Linked DNA regions of Oreochromis niloticus. The protein of the gene in region 1 interacts with the protein of each later gene in a biochemical or structural test. Links are inferred from orthologs where the notes say so. Each region holds a gene or a part of one and is shown on either strand. Other genes may lie near its edges. The genes, in order: rcc1 and ranbp3b.

The links.
Region 2: the proteins of rcc1 (region 1) and ranbp3b form a complex in vitro, tested with the Homo sapiens proteins (2 studies listed by BioGRID). The link is inferred for Oreochromis niloticus from reciprocal best matches to the Homo sapiens genes RCC1 and RANBP3.

The regions. Positions count from the first base shown.
Region 1 is NC_031976.2:7,336,254-7,352,089, forward strand, and holds rcc1 (regulator of chromosome condensation), read left to right. Parts: upstream 1-7,758; 5' UTR 7,759-7,896; intron 7,897-9,103; 5' UTR 9,104-9,121; coding exon 9,122-9,200; intron 9,201-9,508; coding exon 9,509-9,696; intron 9,697-9,808; coding exon 9,809-9,988; intron 9,989-10,390; coding exon 10,391-10,487; intron 10,488-10,587; coding exon 10,588-10,710; intron 10,711-10,848; coding exon 10,849-10,989; intron 10,990-11,104; coding exon 11,105-11,224; intron 11,225-11,313; coding exon 11,314-11,478; intron 11,479-13,552; coding exon 13,553-13,728; 3' UTR 13,729-14,346; downstream 14,347-15,836. Other genes in the region: phactr4b (phosphatase and actin regulator 4B), read left to right, coding at 1-83, 1,110-1,638, 1,962-2,260, 2,382-2,580, 2,761-2,816, 3,084-3,145, 3,234-3,371, 3,568-3,644 and 1 more. UniProt on the Homo sapiens protein: Guanine-nucleotide releasing factor that promotes the exchange of Ran-bound GDP by GTP, and thereby plays an important role in RAN-mediated functions in nuclear import and mitosis.
Region 2 is NC_031982.2:23,311,876-23,327,890, forward strand, and holds the start of ranbp3b (ran-binding protein 3b), read left to right. Parts: upstream 1-7,594; 5' UTR 7,595-7,721; coding exon 7,722-7,743; intron 7,744-9,615; coding exon 9,616-9,671; intron 9,672-9,990; coding exon 9,991-10,027; intron 10,028-10,119; coding exon 10,120-10,197; intron 10,198-10,310; coding exon 10,311-10,382; intron 10,383-13,011; coding exon 13,012-13,077; intron 13,078-13,919; coding exon 13,920-14,012; intron 14,013-14,184; coding exon 14,185-14,294; intron 14,295-15,819; coding exon 15,820-15,939; intron 15,940-16,015. UniProt on the Homo sapiens protein: Acts as a cofactor for XPO1/CRM1-mediated nuclear export, perhaps as export complex scaffolding protein. Bound to XPO1/CRM1, stabilizes the XPO1/CRM1-cargo interaction. In the absence of Ran-bound GTP prevents binding of XPO1/CRM1 to the nuclear pore complex.

The DNA.
Region 1 (15,836 bases):
CTGCTGGAAGCGAGAGTGCGACTATGATGTCTACCTGTCCCTGCCTGTCTACCTGTGCCGGCGGGCCGGAGGCCTGCGCTCAGGTAAAAGGATGCCCTCCTGGTATTTCTTTGGCTGCGGTGCCAATTTCTGGAATGCCCTCTTCAGAGTCTGCACACTTCATCATGTCGCATCCTTTCCTGCTGCCAACATATGTCTTCTGAAAAGCCTTTAACTTGTTCACTGGCCTTCATTGCTTTTCTTTGGACCTGGTATATAAGAGCCGCATGCATATAACAAGCTGATAATGAGTGTGCTTACTGTACACAACTTCTGTGTGAGTGCAGTTGAGTGTATTTTGCCTCTGTATAAGGGAGGGCCTTTAGCGGGTTCCAGCTGTGTTCTGCTATGCATCAAATGAATTTTATGTCTCTAATCCACTCAGCTCTCACTCAAATGGGATGGATGGGTGGACTTGAATGGGTCGAAGAATAAAAAGGCAAAATGGTTCTAACATAAGGGCTCGACTTAATATAGAGAGGAAGTCCATTACTGTGTAGATTACTGCATGTTGTAAGTCTGTCAGCACTGTTCACTTATTATGTCTTACGTAGCACGGCTCTGCTTTAACAGAAATGTTGCCTTAAAGCTGTCCTCTGAAGTCTTAAGAGCCAAATAGCAAATATGCAAAAGTGCATGCAAAACTCGAAGGTTTGCATTTGAGCTTTTTGTTTAGGAGCTTCAGGAGCTTTACTACGCTAATAGATAAAGTGTCGGTGTGGGGTTAGAGTCTGGCTGTGAAGAGCATGGATGCATCTTTTTTGTCTCTGTGAACTGGAGCAGTCGCTGCACACTGGTCTTTTAGAGCAAAGTGTGCGTTCATGGCCATCATGTGAACCAACTTGCTGTATGGATGCAGTAATGCTCAGTCAGACATGTAATCCCAGCATTCGTGTGTCTTCTGTCATACTGGGTATGTAATACATGTGTGACTGATGCTTGTGCACTTGCGTCACAGTGACAAACTAGATTCAAAAGTAAAGCACTTGCTAGCAAGTCACTCTCACGCCTAAGCTGTAGCTCTTTTTCTGTAGCAGTTATGGTTGGATTAGCTCTTTTTCCATTTGCAGGTGACTTCACCCAAGCAACAGGGGGCGCTAGCCTTGTCCCGGCCAAACCCTCTCCTCCAATGCCTCCTAAGAGGACCACCCCAGTCACCAAACGCAACACAGAGGACTCTGCTTCAAGCCATCCCATCATCCCCTCACCACTTTCTCTGGAGGAACACAGCAGCCTCCCTGTGGGCTTCCAGCTGCCTCCCCCTCCTCCGTCCCCACCCCTGCCGACTCACATACCACCTTCTCCACCCCGCCAACACATACAGACCCACCACCTCCACCATCAGCACTCCTACCCCCATCCGCTGCCCCAACCCATACCAATGCTTTTCGACCCACCGAGCCCGACCAATGAGTCTCCCCAGCGCCCGGCTCCCGTACCGCTGCACATCATGATCCAGCGAGCCCTGTCCAGTCCCGGCCCGGCTCAGCCACATCCAGATGGGTCGCAGCGGGCGCACACACTGCTTTTCGAAACACCTCTAGAGTACCAAGGAGACCGTGGTCGCCCCCTGCCTGTCAGCATTCAACCACTAAAACTGTAAGTTTCTCTGCACAGAAAAGTCAATTAGTGAATCGGTGTATACAAAGACAGTCTTACATGGTGAAGAAATATGGAGTTTGCATGTGATCTGTCTTTGCATGTAGCTTTGAGGATCTTTTTCATCCATTTTCTAAGCTGTTTACTCTTTGTACTTACCTGTGTATCCATTTCAAGCTGAAAAACAGTCCAGTCTTCATCATTGTAAAGTCAGATATAGCTGGAGGGACATATTTCAGTTAAACTTATTTAAAACACGTCTTCAAAATTAGCCAAATAAAAACAAAAAAATATTTTATATGCATGCATTTTTTTCCTGTTAGATCTGAGGATGACTACTCAGAGGAAGAAGAAGAGGAAGAAGATGACGAGGAAGAGGAGGAGTATGATGGGGAGATTCCACAGCCAGAGCTGGAGCCAAGGAGTCGCCGGTGCTTGGTCGGTGACGCTGGCATTTGTGTCATCCCACGGGGAAACAGCAATGACGAGGACGAGGAAGAAGAGGAGGATGAGGATGAGGAAGGCGAACACGACATGCACGGGGAGGACAGTGATTCAGATGGTCCTGTGCCTCATAAAGATGAAGACTCAGATGAAGATGAGGAGGATGAGCCCCCGATGAGTAAGCATAACAAACTGATTTGGAGGTCATTTAGTGGCTTTTCCGGACTCTTTGTAAACCTGTGCAGCGTTTTGGTGCTCCTTCTCAGCTTACTGCATCTCTCCGCTTGGCTTTTATCCAGGCGCACTGGCCAGCAGGGTGAAGAGAAAGGACACCCTGGCTCTGAAGCTGAGCAGCCGTCCCTCTGCTCCCGACAGGGACAGGTTTACGCAGGAGAGGAGCAGCCGAGATGACCAGCCTCCAGGACAGACTGGCCTCACCTGGCAGAGCAGAGAGCAGTGGGAAGCCATTCGCACACAAATTGGCACTGCACTCACGAGGTAAAGATGAGCAGAATCATTGTATTGTTTAAAATGACAGCAGTGAAAGTGCATTTCCTGAAGAAATTAGACCAATTTTTAATAGATCCTTGACCTGCTTATTACCTGAATGTCCAAGTGAAGTAAATGTGTAAAAATAGGACTCCATTTTTCTTTTTTCTTTTCTTTTTTTTATTTCAGGCGACTAAGCCAGAGACCCACTGCTGAGGAACTTGAGCAAAGAAACATCCTCCAGCGTTAGTATTAACTCTCTCTGTCTTTGTTCATGATCCTTGACTTGTTTGGACTCTTTTGTTTCTGGGTTTTAGCAAAACCACTCCTCATTCTTTCGTCTGATGCTTTTGCCTCAGCATTTGTTAACAAAGTACATTTCACATCTGTTAACAACAAGCACATATCTAATTTTAGAAATTGCTTTTAAACCTGCCATCAAACCAAGCCTTTTATGCCAAAGTCTAAATTTGGCTCTTCTATTCTTTCTCCCATCTTTGTTCTTCCCTCAGCTAAAAATCAGGCTGACAGACAAGCCGAAGTTCGAGAGATCAAGCGACGGCTGACCAGAAAGGTGAAGCAGCACACCTGCAAACATCCCAGTGTTAAACCATTTATTTACCTGATATTAAACTGACATAAAAAAAACCTCTTTATTGTAGCTGAGTCAAAGACCCACGGTTGCAGAACTACAGGCAAGAAAAATCTTGCGATTCCACGAGTATGTGGAAGTCACAGATGCCCAGGACTACGATAGAAGAGCAGACAAGCCGTGGACTAAGCTGACACCTGCTGACAAGGTAATCAGCTCCATATAAAGGCTTTATCGGCACAACCGCTTTCTGATACAGCACTTTACAAAATGTCCAAGACAGTGTTACAAACATTTTAAATGTTAAACACATGCAACTCCTTTAGGTTCATGTAATTTTTTAGCAGTATATTGTCTCGTTTTCTTTCTGAGTTCATGTTTAACCGAATTGCTGTTTTGTCTAGGCGGCCATCCGGAAGGAGCTCAATGATTATAAGAGCACTGAAATGGAGGTTCATGAAGAGAGCAGAATTTACACAAGGTATACCTTTTAGTTGAAACTTGACTGGCTGATTGATTGACTTGGTCAAAACAGTGAGGTACTGTGTTTTGCTGATTTGTTTTTCTACACCACTCTTCATGTTGGTGGGGTATGGAGTCTATCTCAGCTGTCATAGGCCGAGAAACTGGGTACACTCTGGACAGCTCATGAGTCCATCGCAGAGCTAAAGGAGAGACAGATGAACCACTCACACTCACTTTCACATCTACGGCCAATTTAGAATCACCCATTGAGCTCACATGCATGACCTCCCAAAACCTGGGACTGTGGGAGGAAGACGGGTACCTGGAGCACAGGGAAGCCATGCAAACGTCACACAGTTTTGTTTTTGTTGTTATTTATTTCTCCTGTTTGTGTCAGGGAAACAATGAAATATGTAATACACACTTGAGAGTGATGCATCTTTGAACACTTTCTGCCATTTGCAGCCAACCTTGGCGCTCATCCTGAAGACATCTCCCCCCAGCAGCAGGTTTTAGCTAAAGGAGTTTGTTAGCTTGCTACTGTGTCAAGTGTTTATTTCATACTCCCTCAATCATTAAGGACTTACTGTTTAACAGTCTTCAGGATGTCACTTATTTTAGTCTGTAGACGTCGGCTGCCTTGGCTACACATGCACTGTGTGTCTTGTGTTTGCTTTACACTTAAAGCCATCTTTGTTGCTTGCACCTAAACACTTTAAATATGAATTAGCAGCAGTGGTGATTTGCTACTACATTAATAGACTTGTGACAAGTAAACAGAGAGATCCATGTAGAAACTGATTGATTGGTCAGCTTTCTTATGCATGCCTGGTTAAATGGCAGAATCCAGCACTAACAATGAAACCTTGGCAGAAGAAGACTTTTAGAGAAAAATCTGTACCTTAAATAGCGATATAATGAATTTCCCTGCATTAATAGCTTAAGGATTACGAAGGTGTGATCTTGCCTCATGAGAGCTGTTTGTTTTCTTTAGGTTCCATCGGCCTTAACATCCCTGCTTCCGGATAAAGAAGCACTTAAGATCTCCGGCAAAGAAGCAGCTGCTCCCTATGCAGACAGATCGCCCTTTTGCGTCTCTTGAATGTACTGTTATCAGGGAAAGCCTGGAACCGACTCCACACGAGAATGCTTCATGCTTGTCCTCCATCGCCCTCTCACTACATTGCTTTCACTGAACCGAGGTGTTGGTGGGTGGAGACCAGATGCAGTATTTCTCCCAGACGGCAAGGGGGAACCACGTGCCAATAAAGTGGAGAAGTGGCAAAGGACCTACAGGGCTTACTCTCACTCTGCTGTTGTGTGGTGCCCCTCAGGGACTCGGATATAGTTACAACCTTTAATGCGGCCTCGTCCTGTGTTGCCTTTTTCTTTTTCTTCTTTACTGTATATGGAAAAGCTAACTCATCTTCGCTAATGTAATAACGTAGAATAAAAATGGTAACAATAATGATGACCTATAACACTTCACACAGTAATAATAGACACAAACGGTCAGGAGTTGGCTGAAGACTGGGATATTCTGTTTTAGAGCTGGACATCTCTGGGATATCGTGTGTTTTTTATCCACTCTACAGACTGCTGCTGTGATACGTTAGAGTGAAACTGGAAGAGATCTCATTGCAAAATATTGTGTGATGCACAAAATATTTTCTATTACAATTTTGATCACAAGGGTAGTGAGAGCTTTTCTTTGAGCCTTCTTTTTTATTATTATTATTATTATTATTTGGCTTGCCTGTGTTTGTGGTTGTGATGTGTCGGCCTTTTAATAGCTATAGGAAAAGGTCAGGAGGCTGTTGGTGTTTTAATGCGTGCCAACACACCCAATACTGGTTTTCATATCACTGATTTCTGCAATCCACTGCATGAGCCATTACAAAATCCAGTGCCACCGCGTCTGGATAATCTCTCTTCATTTATACTTTTTTCTTTTGTAAGTTTTTGTACTTCCCTTTAAAGATTGAACATGCAATACATTCTGTAGCCATTTTAAATAAGGTCGTTACGATAGTGTCTAAACTAAGAGTTAAATGTAAGTTGCTTCAAGTGTAGATCAGGGATTTATCACAAAAAAGAGAAAAAAAAACACCTGAAAATGTATAATCGGTCAACAGGAACTCAGTTTGGCTGGAACTTTTTGAAACTGCAGAAATGTTTTACCTTGTCTTGTTGTCTGGCCAGTAGCTTACAGGGTTCTCAGTGCTGTGTGTATAAGTTGATATAGGTTTATCTGATGCTTCTGTATATCTTGTCTTCCTTTGATTTGAAAAGAAATTTTAAATATAAAAGTATTATAGGTTGCTATTTTTTTAAGCAGAACATGAGTTTATGATTAAATGCTACAAGAATGGGAATATGAAAGTGCACCTTTCTGTAAATCTGAGTTCATTTTTAATTGAATGTGGAGCTGTATGAGCTGACAGTCTTCTTTTTAATTGTAAATAGTCTGGATCTAATTAAAAATCTTACAATTCCTGGAACCTTCTTGTGAAACAACTCTGCAACTGAGGTCCAGTAGACCTCTCTTACCTAATGACTGTGTTCAGGTGGAGTCTTTTGTCTAAGCTGGAACGTCTAAAGAAAAAGTGGGTTTGCAGCAACACCTGGTGGCGGTTTAAGTTTTTGCACTGTCTTTTGATTTTAAAAAATTAGCTGGTTTAAGGCCCTTTAGTGTAAATTAGAATATATTTTAGGTAATAGGTTATATGTTAGATTATTGGAAAAGGTGACACCATAGGGTGGGGGTGTCATCATTTCCTAATGATAAAATCTCCCATATGGGAGTAATTAAGCCATAGATAATAATCAATAATCAAAAGCTCCTGCTTTTTCATATGGACTATAGAAATTTATTTTTACAATGGGCCCACAGTAAAAATAAGTCAATAATTATAATAGTGAAAAAATAATCTTCTGTGAATTACCAACATCTTTCAATTGTGTAATTACTGAAAAGTCTGGACAGTGAGCTGCAAGAACCTTTTCTGTAATTTTAATTGTTTATTTATTTGTGCTAATAGATTTCTTTCATTTACTACAGCAGTATGTCTTCATCGTGTACAAAAAACCGAGAGGTATAGTTGAAATTGCACTTTTTCATATTAAATGTGTAGCTAAAGGTCTTCACACTGAGAAAATTGAGAGTTTTGCTAGTTTGGCCCACTTAAGTTCAAAGTGAGCTGTATGTGGCTCACTGTGTAAAGTGAGTTTGACATCCTTGCTTTAGGGTGAGGAAGTGGCTATGTTGTAGCATCAGCTAAAGAAAGAAAGAAAAGACTGAAGGTAAAATATGTTCACAGATCTTTAAGGTCTGGGTTGGACAAAAGGAAATCTAGTTACAAAATATACAGATAAGGGACAACCTAAAAAAAGGTTTGTAGGTTACTGATAAATTCTTATCTCTTAATGTCAATTAGAGACATAAAAGCGATACAAGATGGATAAAGGTGAAAATCAAAAGATGCCCACCTCCCCTGTCTTAATATCAGCTGGTCAGCGTTTTTTTTACATTACATACAGCTTCCGTAATTAGTGAATTGTACAAGATAACAGAACTATTAAATATATAAGGTAAAGGTTTTATATTACACATTCAACTTTAGATGAAAATACCACTACTTTTACATTGTTGTAGGGGTTGGTTTTTTTTGTTTTTTGTTTTTTTTGTTAACAATAACTCTGTTACACTGCCCTATTACAGCTATTGACGTGTACCTTTACTTAAATTCTGCACTTTTTGAAGTACTTGAGGTACTGAGGGTGAGATGGAGCCAGATGATCTGCTGTGGCGACCCCTAAAGGAAACAGCCAAAACAAGAAGAAGGAGGAGTAGAAAATACTCTCATATCTTTGGTTATAATAAAAACTGAGTGTTTCACCAGACGTTATTACTTTTACATATATAACTGATCTGTAGCCAGTTTCATTCACCACAGTTACCTGTTCCAGTGCTGTTACTCGGTTCTGAGAAAGGTGATAGGAGTACTTTCTCCAGCACCAAGTATTACTTCATTTACGCAGATAAATGGCTTCGCCTGATGCCCTTTATACTAGATAGATAGATATACATATATACACTTATACACGTGAACCTCTGTCTGTGTCCATCAGCTCCATCCTCCTGTGTTACTGTCTCTTTAAGGAGGCGGGCGTTCCAAAGGTCCTACAGAACGTAACGTTGCACGTCTCGAGACCGGGAACCAGGCTGTGCACGTTCACTTCAAACTGCACTCTTCAATATTTCACAGGTCAGTAAATTATCACCTCCTACACTTTACAGATGGATTAAACAAGTATCGAGAAATACTGCTCCGCTGAATCGCACGCAGTTACATTGTTAAATTATGTTTCTCGGTTTCATTCATTCAATGTCACGCTAACACCCCAGCTAGCATTGGCTAGCATTGGCTAGCAAACAGTTAGCCGGCGTTAGGTTAGGCTGAAAAGCTTTACTTTCAGTGCCGGCCAACTAACTTTGGTTAAGCTGTAACAGCTTATATTTTCTTTCTTGCTTTCTCGCTGCGTTCGTTGCTCGTTGTGACACAAATATTTACAGTCAATCTTTACACCATATACAACTCGTTCAACAGCCAAGTTAACTGAATGTTAGCAAGGGCACATGGGCACTGCCAGCGTTAGATCACGCAGCTTAATTTAAACTGTCCAGCCCTGTAAAGGAGCTGATGGCACTATCCAAGTACTTCCTTATGAAATCCCAGCGTCTGTCGTACGATCTATAGTGGGGACTAAAAGCTGAAACTGACTCTCATTTCAAACTGTACCACGTGTCCTTATTTTGTGGGCAGTGGTCTCTTGTCAGCATGAGAAGCAGGAGTGAAGGAAGCACAGCTGTTTGTGGGGTGAAAGAACCATTGAAATTGGGCTCCGACAGCTGTTGAACCCTAAGAACTGGTGGGCAGACTTATAACAACAATAAAGGCTTTTTGTGTATTATGTCGGTTTGCTGGCTAGTCTGTAGTGCTGTCTAAGAGCCACTGTGGTCTGGACTCTGGTTTGGGGGTGATTGTCGTCTATAAACGCTTTTGTATTTAGAGAGATCATACTAGTGTAGCCTGGTTTTCTCCAGGTTACACTAGTGTTTTGTTATTGTGGTCCACGTTGCTTTTCTGTCTGCAATTAAAATACTCATCATGAGTATCAGTAAGTAATATATATAGAGAGAGATGTATACTTTACTCATCCCCAGGGTAGACATGCAAATAACTTGTAGGTTAAATGTCAGCTGTTCATGTACTTAATTATCTGCCTTGTGTTGTAAATTTGAGACATTTGTGGTATCTAATAACTATCCTGTTTAGCTTTTTTGTTTCTTAATTTTGTGTGGTGTAAGAATTCTAGCATAGTTTAAATTACTTTGTTGTATTGTTTAACTCACATTATCCAGTTAGTTAAGAAACGCACCCAATTTACACACAACCTTATGTTTTCTTAAAGTCCAAAAGTGTTGCTATCATGCCTGCCAAAAAGACGACCACCAAGAGAAAGTCCGCCGCTATTGTGGAAGATGATAAAGACTCCAAAAAGGTGAAAGGTAAGTCACTTCCTTTTTCAAAACAGGGGTTTATAGAGGGGTAACCAGATTCAGTTTGAACAACTGATAGTCCAGCTAAAAAGTGGCATTGCATTTAAACATCTACACCACTTCTATTTGAGTTTGCTGAAGTAATATATTTCTGTTAAGCAAGTATTATGCACATATGTGAAACGAAGGCTTTGGCTCCAAGTGTATCACACTACATTGTCAGTGTTTTTATCCCCCCCCCAATCATTTTCTTGTATTTTCCATCAAACCAATAAAATTCAATGGTCACTATGAAATTGGTTGTATATGTGTTTCAGTTTCACACAGAAGTCATTCCAAAGAGGCAGGGCAAGTTCTTGTTTTGGGCCAAGGTGATGTTGGACAGTTGGGTTTAGGCGAAGATGTCATTGAAAGGAAGAAGCCAGCACTTCTGTCCCTGCCAGAGAAAATTGTGCAGGTGACAGCTGGAGGCATGCACACCGTGTGCCTCAGCGAAACTGGAAATGTAAGCAAACATTTTTCTTATTTCTCACTTTAAAAAAATGTAATGGCAACCTCTTTGTAGTGTTTAACAAAGAGCTTCTTAGTTCCTCATGTAAACTGTTTTCTTTGTTTAGATTTACACGTTTGGCTGTAATGACGAAGGGGCTCTTGGTCGGGACACATCAGAGGAGGGGTCTGAGATGATCCCGGGAAAGGTGACGCTGAATGAGAAGGTGGTCCAGGTATCGGCAGGGGACAGCCACACAGCCGCACTCACAGAGGATGGATCGGTGTACATCTGGGGCTCCTTCAGGGTTAGTGAACTGCTAGTTAGGGAGCAATCTGGTCCTGAGTGCTGTCTCAGCAACTATTTTTATCACCCTTCCATTACTTTCTATGTAATTGTTTTTGTTCTTTGTTACATTTACTATGTCTACAAAAGTTTCAAATCATTTTGCCTTCAACACTATATTATTATCCAAAACCTAAATGTTGTTCCTAAACATTTATTAATGCTGTAAAACAAATTTATAAAAACTATTTTAGTATATTGTAGTATGTATGCAGTGGAATCAGAAAGCATTTAAATTTGATTAATAAAATCATAATCTTCTTGTAATTCTACACAATGTAGGGAAAAGACTTTGAAATTGCAACTGCTTACTTAATGTTTTGACTGTCTAAAATAATGTCTACATATTACCCTCTTTTCTTAGGATAATAATGGAGTCATTGGTCTTCTGGAGCCGATGAAAACGTGTGCTCTACCTGTTAAAGTCCCTTTAACAGAACACGTTGTTAAAATAGTTTCAGGTAAAAAAGAAAAAGTTTTTGTTTAGTGCTTTATGTTACTGTGTGCGCACTATAAATGAGTTCCTAACAGGGATATTTGTGTAACTGATTTCTTTACTAGGTAACGATCACATGGTAATGGTGACGCTGGAAGGAAATCTATACACGTCCGGCTCAGCTGAGCAGGGGCAGCTGGGAAGAGTGCCTGAACACTTTTCAAACAGAGGAGGCAGGAAAGGCCTTGGTAAGTAGCACACACCTTTTCTGTTTTTGGTGGATAAAAAACTGTAGATTTATGTTAATATCTGATTACATAAACATTTCTTTTTTATAGTGTCTTTAATGTAGTATACATCACTCCTGTTTATTTTTATGATCTCAGAGCGGCTGCTGGTTCCACAGATGGTAAAAGTGAAAGGGAAAGTTCACTTCGTTGACGCCTTCTGTGGAGCGTACTTCACCTTTGCTGTGTCAAAAGAAGGCCATGTGTATGGATTTGGCCTCTCAAACTATCACCAGCTGGGTCAGTGTGACTCGTCACTCCTGCGTTATCCTTTGTAAACTCAACTGCCATGTGCTATTTGTGACTGCGACAGATATCATGAAGTGACTGTATCATTTCAAATTATTCTTTTTAGGCACCAAAAGCACCAAGATGTGTTTTGTCCCTGTAAAGCTTACATGTTTCAAGAACTCAACCACCGCCTGGGTAGACTTCTCTGGAGGACAGCATCACACACTTTGCCTTGATGCTGAAGGTAAGCTGACTGTGTGTAATCGCAGGCAGATGTTACACATCATCCTTTAGCACTCGAGTCAGCTGGAAGGTTGGACTCTTGTCTTCCAGGGCAGGTATATAGCCTGGGCAGAGCAGAGTATGGTCGTCTTGGTCTGGGAGAAGGGGCTGAAGAGAAGAGCGAGCCCACACCTGTGATGGGGATAGAGCTGGCTAAAGGAGTGGCATGTGGGGCGTCTGTCAGCTATGCAGTTACCAGAGAAGGTGAGAACCAAGGTAATCAGGGGACGGGAAGAGTAAAACAATTGAGACTGTTTGCAGCCTTTTTTTGTTATTATTTTCTTCTGAAGCATTGAAGTGCAATGAGACACCATACTTTGCCTTAAATCTATCTAGCTTTAAATTTGTCCTACAAACACATGGCCCCTCATTTCCTGTTTGTTTAGACATTGCTGCTGGTGACAGTGAGATAGCAGCAAGTTTAATCCAACTTTAGGCATGAGGAGAAAGTAATGTTGAGTTTATTAGCAGGAGATGACAGTTAATCTTGTTTTGTTGGGATGCTCGAAGCTAGTACAATACGTTAACTACCAACTTACTCTACCAGTCACATCTGCGCACACCTTCTCATTTAATGGTTTTCCTTTATTTTCATGACTACTTATATTGTAGATTCTCACTGAAGGCATGAAAATTGTGAATGAACACACATGGAATTATGTAGTAAACAAAAAAGTTTGAAATAACTCAAAACATGTTTTATATTTGAGATTCTTCAAAATAGCCGCCCTTTGCTTTGATTACTGCTTTGGACACTCTTGGCATTCTCTCGATGAGCTTCATGAGGTAGTCACCTTGAACATTCTCCTTCAACAGTATTGAAGGAGTTCCCAGAGATGCAGAGCAATTGTTGGCTCTTTTGCCTTCACTCTGTGGTCCATTTCATCCCAAACCATCATGATTGGGTTTAGATCATGTGACTGTGGAGGCCAGGCCATGTGGCGCAGCACTCCATCACTCTCCTTCTTGGTCAAATAACGTGGAGATGTATTTTCGGTCATTGTCCTGTTGAGAAATAATTTAGGTCCAACTAATGGCAAACTGGATGGGATGGCATGTCGCTGCAGGATGCTGTGGTAGCCATGCTGGTTCAGTTTTGAATAAATCCCCAACAGTGTCAACAGCAAAGCACCATCACACCATCGTTGGGAACCATGCATGTAGAGACCATACGTTCACCTTTTCTGCATCACACAAAGACATGTGGGTGGAAGCAAAGATCTCAAATTTGGACTCATTAGACCCAAAGCACAGATTTCCACTGGTCTAATGTCCATTCCTTGTGTTGTTGTTTTTCCTTAGTCGTGGTTTCTTAGCAGCTATTTGACCATAAAGGCCTGATTCGTCTCCTCTGAACAGTTGATGTAGAGACGCGTCTGCTACTGGAACTCTGTGTGGCATTTATCTGGGCTCTAATCTGAGATGCTGTTAACTTACGGTTTCTGAGGCTGGTGACTCGGATGAATTTATCCTCAGCAGCAGAGGTGACTCTTGGTCTTCCCTTCCTGGGGTGGTTCTCATATGAGCCAGTTTTGTCATAGTTCTTGATGGTTTTTGCGACTGGACTGGGGGACACATTCAGAGTTTTTGCAATTTTCCGGACTGACTGACCTTTAGTTTTTAAAGTAATGATGGACTGTTGTTTGTCTTTATTTAGCTGATTGGTTCTTGCCATAACATGAATTCTAACAGTTGCCAAATAGGGCTGTCAGCTGTGTACCAACCTGACTCCTGCACAACACAACTGATGGTCCCAGCCCCATTAAGAAAGCAAGACATTTCAGAAATGAACCCTAACAAGGCATAACTGTGAAGTAAAAACCATTTCAGGTGACTACATCATGAAGCTCACTGAGAGAAGGCCAAGAGTTTGCAGCACTGTTAACAAAGCAAAAAGTGGCTACTTCAAAGAATCTGAAATATAAAACATATTTAGAATTATTTATAAATTTTTTTCTTTGCAAAATAATTCTATATATCTTGCCTCATATATTTGATGTCTTCAGTTTGTATCTATAATGTAAAAAGTAGTACAAATAAAGAAAAACATTCAATAATGTGTCCAAACTTATTCTTTAATGGTTAGACAGTTTTTAGATATGGAAAAAAAAGTCTTCAGTAAATGTGTGACTGACTGTCTGACACAAAATTGTGAAGCAGGATTCTTATCAGAGCCATCACTCACAGTGCAACAACTACTAAACTTTCACTCCTGGGTTTTCATACAGTCGACACCCTTAGAGAATAAAAGATTGCTCGCTCTCCTTACTGTTACTTTTTCCTACTCCAGGATCTGTGTATGCCTGGGGCATGGGCACCAACCTGCAGCTTGGCACTGGAGAGGAAGATGATGAGTGGAGTCCTGTGAAGATGACAGGCAAACAGCTGGAGAACCGTGCAGTACTGATGGCCTCCAGTGGAGGGCAGCACACCGTCCTTTTGGTCAAAGACAAGCAGGAGAGCTGATGTCCTGCACTGACAGAGAGTGAAGGGGGCGCTTCAAGGTGGGGCCATGTTCAGGGTGCCTAAATCAGGGGAAGGGGGTGGATGTATGTGACTTCCTATGCTGAGCCAAGGGAGTGTGAGACGTGCATGATAGAGGGGAGAGGTGAGGTTTGTCCTCTTTTATGGAAGCTCCTCTGCTCTTGGCATTGGGGAATGTGTTGTGATGTTTTTGGTAGATCATGACAAATGAAAGACTATTTTTTTTAAAGCTAGTTTTTGACAGTCCTTTAAAGTCTTTTCATCTGGTCATTTGTATGACTCTAAGATGTTATATGTGATGTTTCTGAATTTGACTGTGCATGTACATAAAGGAAATGGCAGTGCAGGATGTTTAAGGACATAAAAATAGTCTTTTTAATGTTTTCTTTAAAGCAATAAGTAGATTAGACCTTTGTCAGACAGGACCTGTACGCCTGGTGAGTTTAACATGTGCGACTACTGTTCGTTATACCCAGTGCACACAAATTTGTTGTAACTGTTTGGACATTTGGTAACACATCATACTGTATCCTGTATTTTGTTGCATTTCCTGTCTGAAAAATAAAGCTGATTTCTTTTTTAAGGAAAATACAAGCCACATTTACTTCATTTCATTTACTGTGTATTAATAAGATGCTGATTACAGCTTTTTGATAGTAAACCCTTGCTGCTTTTCTTTAACTGTAAAAAGAACATTTCTCTGTGTGCGTGTGTGTGTTTGTGCTACTTTTTGCTGCAGAAAAGGCAAATAGAGGCCCACTCACTGAGCTGTTTATTGTTGAATACTCATGCAACACAATGCTGGAAACATTGCTAAGAGATTTTAGTCCATGTTGACATGACGGCATCACACAGTTACTGCAGATTTGTAAATTGTACAGTCATGATGGGAATCTGCCTTTCCAACGCATCCCAAAGTTGCTTTACTGGATTGAGATCTGGTGACTGTGGAGGCCATTCAAGTACAGTGAACTCAAGCAGCCTTCAGCAGATGGATACGCTGTGGTCATAAAAGCATGAGCAGCAAAAATAGTCAGGTAGCCTGTGGGGTTTAAAGCATGTTCATTTGGTATCAAGGGACTGATATATAGTATAAAACGTTCCCCACACCATTACAACACCACCAGCAGCAGCCTGAATTGATGATGCAAGGCAGGATGGATCTATGCTTTCATGTCGTTATGAGTTACTGTTGCCTTTCTATCACCTTGAAGCGGTCTGGCCTTTCTCCTCTGACTTCATCAAGGTATTTTTTCCCAGAGAACTGCCGCTCATAGGATAGGTTTTTTGTGTGTTTGTTTGTTTTTCAGACCCTTCTCTGTAAAACTTATTTGTGTGAGAAGTCACTTAAATCACTTTTCTCCCTCATTCTAGTGTTTGGTTTCAAATTGAGGTCATCTTCCCCTTGTTGCTGCCAAGTAATTGGCTGATTAGATATTTGCATTAAGGAGACGTTGGACACGTTTAGCTAATAAAGTCCCAGTGGGTGAACAAAGCCTTTAAAATACAAAAGCATTGCACAGTTCTGCAGTGGTTTTTCTGATAAGTAACCCCCTCAATATCACTAATGTTTCCTTACTTCGTTAATCCATTGTTATAATGTAAGACCTGAAACATTTATTCTGTGTGTCATGTTATTTCTAATTAAATAACCATTATTTATTTATTTTACTTGTTATAGAACCTCCAGTCTAGATCATATAAAGATCCTTGATTCTGTAAAAAATATAGTGTTCCTTTGATGCACCTTCAGGGCATCAGTGGGCTAAATGTTAGAGATTGAATCTGCAGGGTTTGGAAAGGTTGCCAGGAGATGTCAAGGACTGATGCTTTTATCAGCTTTCCACATACTGAAGCATTCAGTCTTATTATAGTCCAAAAGCTTCTTGGCACAAAGACTCACATTCATACAGGAATTCGGCAATGACATCCTGCCATTAGTTCCTTTCACTCTTGGAAAGTAAAAAATGGGGTTTCTCATAGTGCTCGTGGGCTCTGATCCTCATCATTTCACTAATAAAAGAGGAGAACAACCACTCTCACACACCTGCACACGTGCACAGTCACTCAGAGATCTACATGCGTCTCTC
Region 2 (16,015 bases), on another chromosome or scaffold:
ATATCATATTTTACATTTAATTTATTGATAAAACCCTATTTCTAGATGTTTTTAAAAATCCACTATTGCCATCAAAAGAAAAGAACAAAATCTACAAGTTGGCCACCACATGCAAGAGAAAATTAAATAGGTATAATTAAGTAATGAGGTTAAATAAACAAAGTACCTACTCTCCACTGAGCAGGAGCAGACTATGACCGATCTTTTTCTAGCCGCTCTTGCATAATTGCTGATTGTATCAAACTGCAAAATCAGAGCAGTGGCTGCTGCAGCAATAATAGTCAAATATCTGACTAATAAGACATTTCTGTTTATGCCAAAATAAATTACCCTTTAAACAACAAAATAAGGATTTAGTTGAATATTAAAATTCCAAAACAGAAAACCATTCCTATCTCTTGAGTCTTTTCTTTTTTTGGAAACTGACAATTGTGTAATTTGATAAGATCTTTCTGACACGCTAACAGCATATTTACTACATACCAACATAAGATTTTCCTTTAGATCTCTTGATAAATTCATCTTAAAGCCTCATTTGACTGAATCACTCTCAGACTCTGTAATCTTTTCATCTGATAACATAAATCTTCACACCTCCACCTATATTTTAAGAGCACACAGTAAATGTATGGTGTTTTTTTCTATAACAAAAGAAACATTTTGATGTCTATCACAGAATAAAGATGAAAGGTTTGTTGTTGTTCATTTACTCTTAAATGTGTGGAAATTCCCTGCAGGTGTTATGCAAAGTTTTATCGGACCATAAAGGCTTTATATCAGCATAGTTCACAAGGCCTGACGGAAATATGAGAACTACATTTTGACCCTTGGAACCTACCCTACCAAAAAGGGGACATAAAAAAAGACAACAAGTCTTTGTATTTTAAAGTCATGAGTGCAGGTTTATATAACATTAATGTTGCCCAACCTTACATGATAATAATAATTGCCTTTTAGGCTCAGATATTGACTTCAGAACCAATATTAGTCTGATATGTGCGGTGTAGTGAATACATGTTAGCGCAACATTAAAAGCTTGTTTACATTCTTCAGTATTCTCAGAAAACCTGACTTTAATGTGGGAAACTTGAGCTTCAAGAGTACATCGGGATGTACATGCATCTTCCCTACAGTCGTATTAAGTTCTGACAGATGATAAACTTTGCATTAAAGATACTTGTCAGAATCCATCTATGCATATCCACCCATGTTAATTCCTGACAAGAGGCTCCTGCGGCACATTTAAAAGGATTCTTTTTGAACGCCCTGTGACAGGTACTAATGAGCCTCAAGCGGCTAAGTGGACATCTGATAGCACTCTTCGTTGTGAAGCGTGCCACTGACCTGTCCCTTTCTTTTTCTTTTGTGCCTGCAGGATACTTGTGCTCACTTCAGTTATTTACTGCTCCCACATGCAACCTGCATGTGTCGTAAAGAGAGAATCTGCATTTGATGCCACCCAGGCTCTAAAGAAGTTTACATACGTTCAGATTGCTCTGATTAAATTGTCTCTTTTTTTTTGGAGGGGCAATTCTGGTCTTGCAGTGAATATTTCATGTTAGATGTGCGGGTTTGATCACAGTACAATTCAACTGAACATTCATTGGCAAACCAATGAGTAACTTCTAAGAAAAAAAAAGGTTGTTGGCTGTGCCGAGCTCTATTCCTGTATGTGACTGCATATTTGAAAAATCCTGATGGATTAATGGTATTGAGTATTTGTCAGAAGATGATGGTCTGCTGCCAAAGGTACTTGGACTCTGTCTGTGCAAAGATGCACAGTGCTGTCTTCAGCATTCCCGTCAGATAATGTGATATGTTGTTTTATCCCTTCATTATCGCTGTCATTTAACATCTCCAAGAACACATTTATTATTGTTTGAGAAACTTTACTTTGGCACACAGTACAAAAAAAAACGAAGAAGAAGAAGCAGCAGTATAGATGAGGACAGGGCTTTTTACTCGCTGCAGACCGAATAATGATACTGATTTAATATTTACTTCTCTTGCAACGATCCATTTGTAAACTGCAGTGTACCAAAAAAAGGAAAAATGAAAGCAAACACATGGGAAAGCTATCCAAAACAAGTTAGCTTCTACTATTTCTTTTTCAGTTTTATTATTATTGCTTTATTTTGAAGCAAAGGTCAAGGAGTTGCAAATCCGTTCTTTCTTTCCTTCCTTCCTTCCGCCCGCCCTTCCTTTCTTTTGGAAGCATGCCCGTGAGGAGCAAACATTAAATGCTTTCAAAATTCATTTGACGTTTAAATTTTAAACTGTTTTCTGGAAGGAAAAATCACCGGGTCAACATGATCAAAAGGTTCTTTAATCTCAGGGGCATTGATTTGTGCCGCCAACGTCACTATGATTCGGCCTTTTTGCTTTTCATGTCAACATTAAATCAACATAGAAATCAGGAAATGAATACAACAAACAGGCGTAGGTTTACTATGATCTTACTGGCCTCTGCAATAACAAGTCTTTTTTATTGTCTTCTGATGTTAGGTTAGGACATCAGACCTTTAGTAGCCAGTTGCAAGTGCAATAATGAGATTTTATATATTCATAAACATATATAAACATACAAAAAGCCACCTCTAGAGATGCAACACTTTCCCAGAAGTTCTGGGAACCTTAATGGCCCATTTCACAGAACATTTATTGCAGTATCAAAATAAAACCTGGTTATGATGGCAGAACTGACAAAAACCACAGTGGCAGACAGATCTATGTGTGCATGTTATGTAGTAACGTGGATAGTAAGATTAGGTGGATGCATATTGGCTTTTTGTCCGGGAGACCGGAGCTCCTGTCCTGTCCCAGACCTGTAATTTATTCCATCCATATATCAGCGATGTACTTCAGTGAGGGTTGCGGGGGCTTGGATTCTGTTTGAGCTATGACTGTGAGACTGAGAGGCAAGACACAGGTCACCAGTCAATCACAGAGCTGACTCTAATGATAGATGAGTAATTTTACACCTGCAGGCACTTAGAGTTGTCTGTCAGAGTCTGGAAAAAACGTATTTCAGTCTCAGGGAGAAAATGAGAACACTTGGAGAACACTTCAAACACATTTGGAACACTAGAAAACCCAAAACAAATTACCAAATATGCACATTTTTTGCGGGATTCGAGTTGAAATGAAAGACAACACTACTAAACTTTATGGACCAAAGACTATGGCACATTACAGCTGTAGGCCATGGACCATGGAAAACCATAGGATGAAGCTCCCAGTGCACTGGATTTGTGCTGATGTTAACGCCAGAGGAGCTTTGAAACTTCTAAGCAATATACGCCTCATCACTCATCAAGCTCACTCTGTAACTTTACGGTGCTGTGGTTGCTAAACATTTCCACTTTGCAATAATACCACTGACAATCAATTGTCAAGTATCTTGGAGGGAATCCTGCAGCATTACTATGGTTGAGCTGTTTAGAATGACTCATTCTTTTACAAATGTTTGTAAAGCCAGGCTGCATGGCTGGGCGCTTTTATATGCATGTGCCAATGGGACGGAAAACAGCTGAATTCAAAGACTAAGACATGTGGCTCAATACTTTTGTCCATATAATGTGGCTACTTTGAGTATTTTGGGAGTTTTTTATTTTCCCCTAGCAGTTTTATTTTATTCTAGTGTATTACGCAATCAGCTCTGCCCTCCAAATGACAACTGAACAAATAACATGGTTTTGGATTTTGTGGAAGAAAGTTACATAACCATAATTACCCCCTGTTTTTGTAGGGGACTCCCCCAGAGTTTCATCTTTAGGTATTAGTTACAAAACTCTGGAAAATGAGAAGCCTGTTATGTAAAAAGTATTGTAAATCTTGGACTACTTCAAAGTAGATGTTATCATTACACAGGTATTACACATATCAGGAAGGCAGAAAGTCAGGTTTTGCACCACGCATGGATTCTGACTGAAAGACTACTTTTTACCCTCCTGATAATGATACAAGATCTGCCATGACGGGTTTTGACTCGTTATGATAGAAACCCCATCGAATGAATTAGAGTTCGGTGAACGCTAAAGTGCCAGTTTGCTATTCGTATGCGGGGGAGTGGATCCCAACTTTTGAGTGAGGGGTGTTTGTTGCCCGTAGACGCAAACACAGTGATGCACAGTGGACATTCGCTACACCAGTGGATAAGTACAAAAGAGAAACTGATATGACCCAAAGCAGAAGCCAAGCTCGTCTGATGGATGACAGCCCTCAGCAGCGAACAGTATAAACACATGCAGTGGCTTGTTTGAGGGGAGCCTGAGGGGAAATCTCAAGCATGATTATTTCTGAAAACTTTTGGTCAACTCAGGCAAACTCTTATGAAATGTCCTCTTTTCAGTGTTCCTTAACCACATTTGAGCAAAGAAGGCAAAGATCTGGTTTGTATTCATGTCTGTGTTGTATTTAACTATTGTTTTATGCCTAACTTACATTTCTTAATCTAGTTCATAACTAAGCAGGCGGCTCTGCCTGATATGCAGGGAAAGACCATTTATTAGAAGATGAAAAGCAGGGGTACTTACCATTATCACCAAATAATGAATCACTTAATACCAATATTCCCAGATTACAACATTTCTAATCGTAACAGGATGATTACCCTGTTATCTTCAGGAAGAATGTTGTATTACGATAAAAGATCGTCCGTGAAGTTCAACAAGTGCTATGGGAAACGCAATTTCAAGTTGGCTCAAGTTACAAACGGCTCTTGAAAGCTGATGAACATATAGCTGCTAACAAAGGCCTTTTAAAAGAAGGCTAAAATTATTAACATTTTATTATTAGAAAGACTTTCAAATATTTTCAATTTAATTAAACATTCTAACCATAAAAAACATAGTGTCACAGCTTTGCCCTCACTGTCTGAGCATGCACTGTGTTATGTGTATTTTATGATATTTTCTGAATGTTTAAGCTCTAAGAGTGATTCTTGAGCCACTACAACCACATCAACACTTGTAGCCAAACTAAATGTGCACATGTATATTCTCAGCGTTACACTTTTTTAAAGAAATTTTAACACAGTTGTCTGTCAAACATGCAAAGAAAAAAGAGAAAAGAAAACATTTCGATGCTTTACATTTCACTCCAGGCACTTTCCAAACTGCCAAACTCAACACCACAAAGACTACGGCCTGAAGGGTGTACTAGAAAGTGAGATTAATGGCCTACTAAGCTATGTTGGGCTTAAAGTTGGAGTTTCTATGTCACAGAAGTGCTTGCGATAAATTACCATGGTAACTTATGCCGAACACATCACCTGGTCAGGTGCAGGTTATGTTTCCCAGTGTTAATTTAAAATCTGATGGAAGCACCATAATTTGAATGATTCTTTTATTTACAGCATGCAGTATATAGATTTTCTGCTGGAATACATTTTATATGTGCAAGAAAACCACACAATAAAGTGCAAACTGAAGGTTGCATACTTGAGTCTAATCTACAGCTAAGTCTCTTTCACACTGCTTGAATTGCAGCTAATAGAACACAGAACACACACCAACAATACCGCTTCAGTCAGTGAAATTAATTTCCAATTGACTGGCCCACAAACCACAGCTCTAAAGTGTCTAATGTGTAGCCACACCTTAATCACTTAACCACCATTTATCTTCATGATCCTCTGATAATGTCTCTGATTGGAATAGGCGTCATTCACAGGGATCATTTAGCATAGAGGAGTCACGACCTGTGAAATGTCCCATTATATGTGACCACGCATACAACTTGAAGCAGAAAACCCGGCTTAACAGAGAATATTGACAACCCCTATAATTATACTTGATAAATCCAGGTGGGGCTTTAGGTTTTATCGAGCCGGCCAAGGCAAATAAGATGCACAAATAAGCTCAGAACCTGCTTTCGTTCTTTCTTGTTATATATAGCACAAATCTTTTCGTTTTCAACCGCTGTGGTTTTATTGTTTTGAAACTCCTTCAGGAAACAAAGGAAATACCTTCCGCCCATATTTTTCATGATACTGTATCCAGAATAAACATATGTAGTTTACACATTTGGATATCTGTGTGAATGCTTGCTTACTATATGCACGCCAAAATTCCACAAAGAATTTGCAAAAAGTACAAAACGCAAAAAGCAAAGCCCCACAAGTCAATAATTTCATTTATACTGTCACTGCAGAGTTGATACTTCATGCACTTGTGCAGTTTATGCTTTGTGTTTACCTCATGCCTTGGAGAATATTTATATATTTATTTATTGGTTTTTACGAAAAAATAAAAATTGCTTTTGTAGTTGGTGTTGTAAAATTTTGTAGTTGGTGTTGTAAAGTTGTCTGTAGTTTCAAAGCTTGTCCCGAAGCCATCAGGAAAAAATGTGGACACTGCTTACCTGTAACAGATTTGCTCAGCTGCAGTAACAGTTTGCCCTCTAGTGGAAGCAAAGTGGAACTGCACTGACAGGACACTGGAAAAAGACATTTAACGTTATTGCGCATTTCTGTGCAAAACACAAAGCTGTGAAAATCTTCTGACAGCTGAAAAAAACTGAGAAAATGGGCAGAATTCAAATTCATCCTTAGGAAAGGATTTAATCATGGCCTAATCACTCCTATAATAATGCACTTCATGTAAATAATGTGAGCCATTATCACACAGTGTTTTGGTTACAGGCCTGGTAAATTCCAAGTGCTACATCAGCACAGAGATTGCTTAAATGTTATTTATCTATTTGTTTGTCATCTTGGTATTGCTCATTTGAGTTATTCTTTACCACTCACGATTTTTTTTGTACTTAGGCGTGACGTTTATGGCGTTATCTCTGTACTGCTCTAGCACTTGAAATTTCATTGCTGTGGGACTAATAAAAGAGTCTTATCTTAAACTTATGCTATCTTAAAGAATGCCGTTTTTGCGTGCATGTGTGTGTATGTGTGTCTATCAAAGCCAATTTGCACTGCAGTAAAGTCAGTGGTGTTGTCATGTTTGTACACGGCACTGTAAATGTGGCCTTTACAAACAACACCAATGCGTAAACCCCAGGAGAAAAAAAAGGGCAATAGATTCAAAACAACAGGGCTTTTTACTATGAGGTGACCTTGCATAAACCATGTGTATAAATGTAAGCACTGTGATTACAGGACAGGCATCATTTGGAAACAGGAAATATGAACGACGCCTTGGTTGTTTACCTTTACTTTACTGGGAATCTGGTTAAATAACCACCACCTAGAAAAAGGAAGAACTGCAGCTGAAATGTGAAAGACAAATAAACAAGTACGCAAACGTTTCAAGAAAGACGCCGCTTATAAACTCACCACTAACACTGGCTGTGGTGATGCCTTTGTGACGTGCTCGGAGACTGTATTTTTGTTTTTCCGCTAAACCACTGTTTTCTAGGTTAACAAACCTGAGCCATTCATGTCATCATCTGGTGTTTATGTACAGCTTTATCGTAGTTAATAATACCTTAAAGTCTGTGTTGGTACACAGGGGCCTGGGAAAGCTGTAATAGTGGGTTAGGCGACCCAGGCAAACTTCAAGCTCTTCCTTTGGGCTAGCTGAATTATAAATAAGGACATAAACACATCGATAAGCATGGACATATACTAGATTTTTGGTTTACTAAAAGAGTGGTGGCGAGGGCAGGGGTCGCTGGCTGCATTTGCAAACGGGTGTCTGTGAGCACATTGCTGCCTTGACTTGTGTTATCTGCGCGGTGGGTTGTGGGTGTGTGAGCGTCGAAGTAAAATGGCGGACTTGGCAAACGAAGGTGAGTAAGTGGCAGAATGAGAAAAACAATACAGCTACTGTGGCCATGTAAAGCGTGTCTGTTCACTGTTTGCATATTGGATAGCTGAAATAAAGCAACTGTGGCACACGTAAATGGCGACTTCAGGCGGATTAATAACGTCGCGGCGTATATAAGGTTACAGCGTTAGCAAACAGGCTAACAATGCTAACGCTGGGCTGTGGGTAATACCTGGAATGTCTCGGAACGCCCTCCAGTTCTGCCTGTCAGTTAGCCGGTTTACCTCCTAACGCTAGCACCCGGCTATTTATAGTCGGCGTGTGTGTATTTGTTGCCATTTGTGGTGAGCTAAACGATCTAAGGTGGTTATAAACACCAAACTTGGCTAAGCTAAAGTTGAAAAGCACAGCTTGTAACGAAGCTAAAGTGTAAGAACAACAGTGATTGGAAACAGTGTCCGTGTTTATTTCATGTTGTTAGCGTTACGTTGTAGCTTTGCTTAACGTTCATTTAGGCGCGTAGAGGAAAAATGTCAGCCAGTCAGACAATGCTTCGGTTTAGCCTCTGCTTGTCTGCGCGTTTTCTTATTCCATTAAAATCAGCTTGTCATCATGTTGGGCTTTTAATATGGGAGGATAAACTGAGAACTGTAGTGACATTGTTTGTCAGGCGAGATGACTCATGCTGGTTGGAGCGCATTAGCAGGCTAACTATAGCCATCGAGCTAAACCTCCCTCGGCTTTAAGGAACAAGCAGTGGCGCCGACTATTTACTGAAAAGGGTCAGATGGGTATATATGCTAACTGGTTATCATAAGCAAGGAACGCATTGGGGCTACTTGTATCTCAGAGGTGAATAGAAGTGTTGCATGCCGGAAATCCTATATTCATTGGACAAGTTAGCTGATTGTGAGACAGACAGCAGATACAAAGGTGGGGGTAAAATGTAGGTCACACAACATTTTCTTTAGTTTCACACAAACGATCAGCATAAGCCATGCGGAGCGTGTGTCAAAGCGGTGATTGTCGCTTCAGGAAACAATCGTGGCTATGTGCTGCCGGCTTTTTGGCTGATATCGCATGCATGCATGTTTTGCGCAGCTACAGCGATGCTACACCTGTTCAGTGTACAGGCCTGACCCAGACAGAGGAAAACCTTTGTCTGCTAACGTTATAGGATTACACATCTTACACCAGGGTACAGTGTGAACATAGAGTCGTTAAGTGGCTTGAGCTGACATCAAGTTATCGCCTAGCCTGGCTTTAGCTATTCTTGTTATGTTATGATCATAGATTATGGAGGCAAGAAAATACCGGTGGAAGGCTTCATAATTTCTCATTTAGTTATTTATTTATTTAAAATTACACAGTCTCTGTCTAGTTTGTCTATTCTGCAATACGCGTATTTGCATATCTTACATTTGATCACGTTATTTAGTTTATTGTGGATTGTTCACTTTAGTTAAACTTAATGTGATTTAATTGTTCCAGGAACTTCTAATAGGATTGTATGGTTAAGTTTAGTGTACTCGGTTTGATGACATGATTTCGCCTGGCTGGTTGACACAGATAGAAATCAGATTGTTGATAAGCTGCATTTTTGCAGGTCATCTTTTTAAGTTTCTTACATTTAAATTAGTTGTGAACAGTTGTTTAACTCACTGGAATCTTTACCATAGCAATTTTTGAAAAGTTAGACTTTTTATTTTTAATCAGCAGTACAGTCTATAAAATTGAAGATGTCCAAATACACTTAAAATGTTCAGGTACACAGAAGACGTAAGCCACAGCATAGGGTCTTTTGAGCCACAGTCATGTGAAGAATCAGACAGACAGTACTGCTGCACACCATAAGTTAGTGTTTAGATGACTAGCCTACATCTTTTCTTAACAGACAAGCCTGCCATAGCGCCCCCTGTGTTTGTTTTCCATAAAGATAAACCACAGAAGGTAAGTTTCTGTTTTGTTTTGTTTTTTCTTTATTTATAAGGGCTAAAATTGCCTTTTTGAGTTTGCCGATGTTATTTATGCCAACATTTAGTCAAGCTGAGTTTCTGAAAAGCACACATCCCAGAAAAGTTCTTGGATTAAAATTTTTCACTGTTAGCAGAATTTCCTGCAAAATCAACGCACATCTTCCTTGCTAGTTTGTTTCTAATTTAATTAAGTCAAAGTTTCATGAATTTAAGAAAGCTACCTAGGATTTATATGAGTAATGGTGCTCCTTTGGTATAAATAAAACCCCCAAACTTTTTGCACTTCCTTGCAGAGATCTGCTGAGGGCTCAAGTGCAGAGGATGGAGAAGGTAAATGAAGTATCCAAATTGGCCACTTTGTTTGTCCATGTTATCTTTGTGTTTAAACTGACATACAGTCATTATCATTTCACTTCTTTCAGATTCAGATAAAGATGAGGGAAGCTATACTCCCCCTGTGAAAAGGGAAAGGACCTCATCATTCCCACCCCCACATTCTGGTAAGGGCACGTGATGACTAAGCAAAGCAGAGCGTTTAGTTAATGTTGCTTTTTGCCTGTGGTGTACACATTGATTTGTATGCTGATTGCAGTGTCTGTCTGTTACTTTGCAGTTCCTAAGAACAATGTATTCATGCCCTCAAGTTTCTGCCAGTCTCCGACTGGGAACTCTGACTCCGAGCCAGGTGAGCAATCTAGACCACTATTAGTTTTCCTTTCACAGCTTAAAGGGCCCCTGTGGTAAAAATCTCAGTATTAAAAACCAAACACATCGACAATTTAAGGCAGTTGGCACAAGATGCTCACTAAAACTGGTAAATAGTAGCTTTTGGTGACTTAAAGATTTTAAGTCACAGATCATTTTGGTAATTCTAAAAGTGCCACAAACTCTTAACTCTCACCAGTTCTAGTTGACTCTAATTTAGCTATTTCACTCTGATTTTGTCCATTAGGTTTTGACTGCTGTCCTTTCAGAGTCTTTACTGCATAAACATAAACTGAAAGCTAATTTTTATAAATGTAGGATTAGTATTTACTTTGCAACTTTTTGTATTATTCAAAACATTTCTGCATCTTGTTTTTGTTTGGTTTAAATTTAAGTCTTTGTATTTAGTCTGTTTTGAGATTTCAGTTCTCCTTGCTCATTTCTCATTTGGCTCTCACTGCTCCAAAGATCTGTCAGTTTGTGTCATGTGTTGCACAAAGACCGTTCAGTATACCAAGCAGGGAGAAGTCTTTTTCTGTATCTTGTAATTCTCCGCCCTCTCAAAACCTTCAGTAATACAGAGAATTCGTTTTTCTTATAAGAAAAGAACAATATGGCCTTGAGTCGCTTGTGATCCTGCCTCCATATAATATAGCTCTGAACTGCCAGATTCAACTGGAAAACAAATTTATGATGCTTGAATTTGAAAAAGGCAGAGTTGAGGTTGACATTAGTAAATCCATAGGGTTTGTGTTTTATGATTTCCTAGTGTCATGTGGTGATAGCTGACAGCAATTTTCCTAGTGCCACTGCTACAGAGGACTAGCTTATTAGGTATTAAAAGCTAGTTTATTTAGCGCTGTCTTAGGTGTCTATGGTGTCTTTCTATGAATACAGTATGTCTTGGATATAATAGCTGTTCCCACATTAGAGCCTTCTTTGTAACTGAAGTATTTCTTTCTTTGCAAATTTATAAAATATAACCTGAAATTCTAAATAAGCTGGTAGGGTAGGGTTAGGGTAAGTTGGGTTTTAAACTTTAAAGGTTTGCGCTTCATGACCTTGCTTGTGCAAGCTCCTGGCCAGGGTTAGAGGTGTGTTTCTGTCAAACTAAAATTTGTTCTTTTTTTTTAATGTTGTTTATGCCCCTTGCAGTTAATGTATCTGTTGTTCATTTGCACAGGAAATCTACAAGGCTAAAAAAGTAGTAGTTGACATAACATTAGGCTAATGGGAACAAAAACATATGCATATTTTTTAAATAAGAAATTAAACAGTAACTGTGAGGAGAGGAAGTTGGGGCGAAGCTGGATTAACAACATTGTTTATCAGTAGCATATCTCTAACACGAAGCTTGTAAATAATTATCTTGTGGTAACTTTGCTTTGCACTTAGCAGCACTTGTCTGTGTCTGCTTTTCCTGCCAGTTACTCCAAAGCATAATATTTATAGGAAGTCTGACTAGTAAATTTGTTGTATCACTTTAGATGTTAAATTTAAATGATTTTGTTTAATGTGTGCAGCTCAGCTTAATCAGTCATTTGCTGAGTAGCCGTTCATACTTTAATTTGTTGAATCACTTTCATCAAGGTCATATTACACTGGTAAGACGAGTCGAAATGGGGGAAAATATCATTATGAAAAATACTGACTAGTTAATAGAGATATGAAATTATTATTGCAGAAGCACTTTAAGGGAGAATAAGGAAGTATGATTTTTATGGATTTTTCTTTTAATCCCATCTCTTGTCAAAGATAAACGTGACCCAATCATTTATTTATTTATTTATTTTTTTGCTTTAATGGGTTGAGCTCAATTGAAAAGTGACATAGAGGTTTAAATCACTAGTCAACAGATTTACGGAGACTACTTCCACTTGAGCAAACAAACAGGCTGTAGTTAATAACTGCCTGAAGCATGTTACATAATGTGTGTATTTGAAAGTAAAAAGAGTGATGAACAGACCAAAAAATGTTGTTAATAGAGATGCAGAACTACACTATGTGCTGGAAGTTTGGTTATTTTAGTTGCATTTAAAATGTTTATAGTGCTTCTATTGCTTCTGTGGTTGTTTTCTTCATTGTTTGCGTGCATGTCCTGAGAGTTGGTGGTTAGTAAAAGTGTTGAAAGATATTCATGTTCATTTATATTTAATTATGCAAATACTTCTTATAATTAGATTGAATATGTTTTTCTTTAGCATATGTGCAATCTAAGCTTCACACACTAGTTGGTTTAAAATTGCCTGATTTACTAGGCTTAACATTTATGCACACTGGAATGGTCTCCTAAACGCTGAGGACAAACAGGATGTGGCTTTTCGCATGTGCTTTTGGGTTTCTGTTCTAGTGCTGATTACTTAATGGCATCCCAATAAAGCCACTGAGATGAAGAGACGGAGGTAGAAATAGATCAAAGGCCCTAGAGCCCGCCATGTTACCGAGATTCCAACACAACTCTTAAGGCCGTACGAGGGTTGCTGTGGTAACTGGCTCTGTGGTTACAAAATTTGCAAAGACAGAAGAGCATGCTCACATTAGGTTGTTGTGCAATACCTGAATATGTTTTTTTTTTAACTTTTGCTTCTTTTTATGGTTTGTTCCACTAGAGGAGAAGCCTGTGGGGTTCCGTTTAAAACCACCGACTCTCATACATGGACAGGCACCAAGTTCAGGTAGATGTTTAAAAATTTTTGTGTTATTTATACTATGGTTTTTTTAATATACCTGACCACAAAAATCTGGCAAGTAGCTTTTGTAGTTGGTTCAGTTTTTCTGTTTATTTGCAGTATAATACAAAAGCTGTTGCTGGATTTGCATGAAATGTTTTTGCATTAGGTGTTACTTGGTCCACACATACAAAATATTTGGAAAAGGTTTCTACTATTTTAGATGGAGCAAAATTGCATCATATCTTCACAACTACTTTAGATTTGTTACTGAAATAAGAAAAACTGGCAGATATCATCAGATATCGTCATGAGGCTCAAAAAAATATCACAAACCCATCTAGATGTAAACTCATTGTTGATCCAGACACTCAGTTCATGCACAGGGTGGAGGGAATTTTCATACTTGGCAGATATTTACTCAGACCGATCCTGTTCATTATGCATTATCATTTATTATTCAGGCTTTATCTGATGAGGACATTTAATCTTAATTATCAGCACTGACATTGGTACAGTCCTCACGAACAAGTGATATGATTATACAAGTTACAACTATGTTTGAAAGCTGTCACAAAAAGTCAAGCATTTGAATGCTGGTTATGGTGTGGAATAACATCAGATTGTGCAAATATGACACCCCCCCCCAAAAAAAAAAAGTTAAAGGGATCCCAAATGACTACTAATGTCATATTGACCTAACCCCTTACTTGTACTCCACTCCCAGGCAGAGCTTTGAATATTTGCAGATTATTTAAAATTCTTTCTGAGCAGCCCACACATCAACATGTACATGTAAAAGATATAACTGTGTGTACAAATCATGAGAAAAACTGCCTCGGTTGCAGGTGTCCCTAGTCAGAAACCCAAGGAGCAGCAACGCAGTGTCCTCCGCCCTGCAGTTCTCCAGGCACCGCCCTCTAAATCACATTTAGAGTCCAGTGAGTAAAGCTCAGAGTCTTTTACACTCATTAGTTAATCACATGTAATTTAAGATATAATTGCAATCGTTGTTCTCGCTGTGCAAGCTGTTTTTCTCATGAGGTGTGTCGCTTCAAATGCTATCAGGATAGGTGAAAAGTTGAACTCATTTCTCTTTTTTTCTGTCTGTAGATTCCAGTTGTGGAACCAATGGTGTGAAAAAGTCATCAGATGGTGCACCTGTGACCCAGTCCCTCTTCCTGAACAACACAGAGCACTCAGCCACGCTGACTAAGACACCGGTGAGAAGTAGCAAAACCTAAACCAGTTATAATTAGGAGACGAAAATCAAATATGACTGCATTTCCTGCAGGTTTTGTTTGTTTAGTTCTTTATTACAGTTTTTGCTTGTGTGTTATATTTGTCCTGTTGACATATTTGTCTTTTTACTGCGGCAATAGATACAAGTCATAGACTGAAAAGCTCCAGCATAGAAAATTCATGTTTTTATTAAATGTTTTTTTGTTTACATTTGATTAAATAATATAAACATATTTATTAAAACATACATGTGTAAACTGTTGTCACAAACATGTTACTACATTGCAACACTTGCTTTTCTGTCATTACCTCAGCTCTCCATCGTTACAGGTTTTGGTTTTTTTGCTTGTTTGTTTTTTTTAATGAATCTTTCAGCCACAGCTGAAAAAGGCGAACATAATTTGACTAACAAAGAGAAACCACACAGGTTGCGTCAGTTTGCTACTCGTAGTGTTCAGAACAGCAGTCCAGCCAGTTTCAGTCATTTGTTTAGGCCAAATAAACATTTGTGCTATGACTGTTTTTAATAAATTCATTATGATGAGGCTTCGGTTTCAGCACCCAATAAAGTCCAAATGACTTCAAAGTGATGACTCATTCACATGCGTATCATTTGTACAAGTAAAGCAAACATTTTGGCTTCATTATTTCTTAAGTCACGAGTATGTTAGAAATTCTGATAATTGAAGAAATAATGAAGCACAGATGTTGCTAGGACACATTTCTTCAAACAGCATGAAAATGAATGAGACCGCTTTGGAGTCATTTGGCCACTGAAGCACATATATGTGCTTCAGCAGGGTTAGCATAGTTGTATTCAGTGTTTCCCACAATACTGGATATTAAAACCGTTGATACTTGTAAGGATGAATAAAGGAAATTGTAAGTTTTTATCCTGTGCATAGACCCCAAATCCACGGTCTTTGTCTGCACCTGGCCCTTCACTAGCTCTTCAGAGTGTCATTACTAGCCACTGTCTAAAGCTATGCAGATGGATTTGCAGTGAGACCAGAGATTCGGGCAGCTTGCTGATTCTTATTCTTGATTTATGATGGGAACCTCACACTACATTGCATGAATTAACTAGTAACTAAATGATGCTTTGTGCAATCAGTTTCATCCAGAAATATTAACTATATTGCTGTGCCACTAATAGGCTTGCTAAGTAAATGGATTTGCATTAGGAAAATTAGGCACGTCTTGCTGCTGTATGCCACTTCTCTAGTATTTTGGCTACATACTTGACAATGACCCAGACTGCTAAAAGTGCAGTGTCGCTTTTTTCTAAGTGAGACTGGGGGGTCCCGTTTGTTTTTATGCAATGCAGTCAGTTGCAAACACAGTTAAGGTGCAAGTTGCAGTCAGTGTGGTTTGTGGAAGATATTAATGAAACTTGCTGCATGCAGGGGAAGTTCCTGTTGGTAAAAGATCCTTCAAATCTGATAAAGGCTCAGTGAACAGTAGTTATATTAGTTGACCCTGCTGCTCTGTTTCTTCCTGTTTCAGAAACATGAAAATGAGGAAGATGGCTCAAGTGGTAACAAGGATGGAGAAAGAAAAGAGAAGAAAGAGTCAAATGTAGCAATATCATTTGTGTTTGGTCAGAATATCAAAGACAGAGCAAAGGTGAGTTTTCCTTCTGCTGGCTGTGACACAGAGTGAGCAGGTGAATTCAAAGCAAGAATTTCTGTGTCAAGCAACA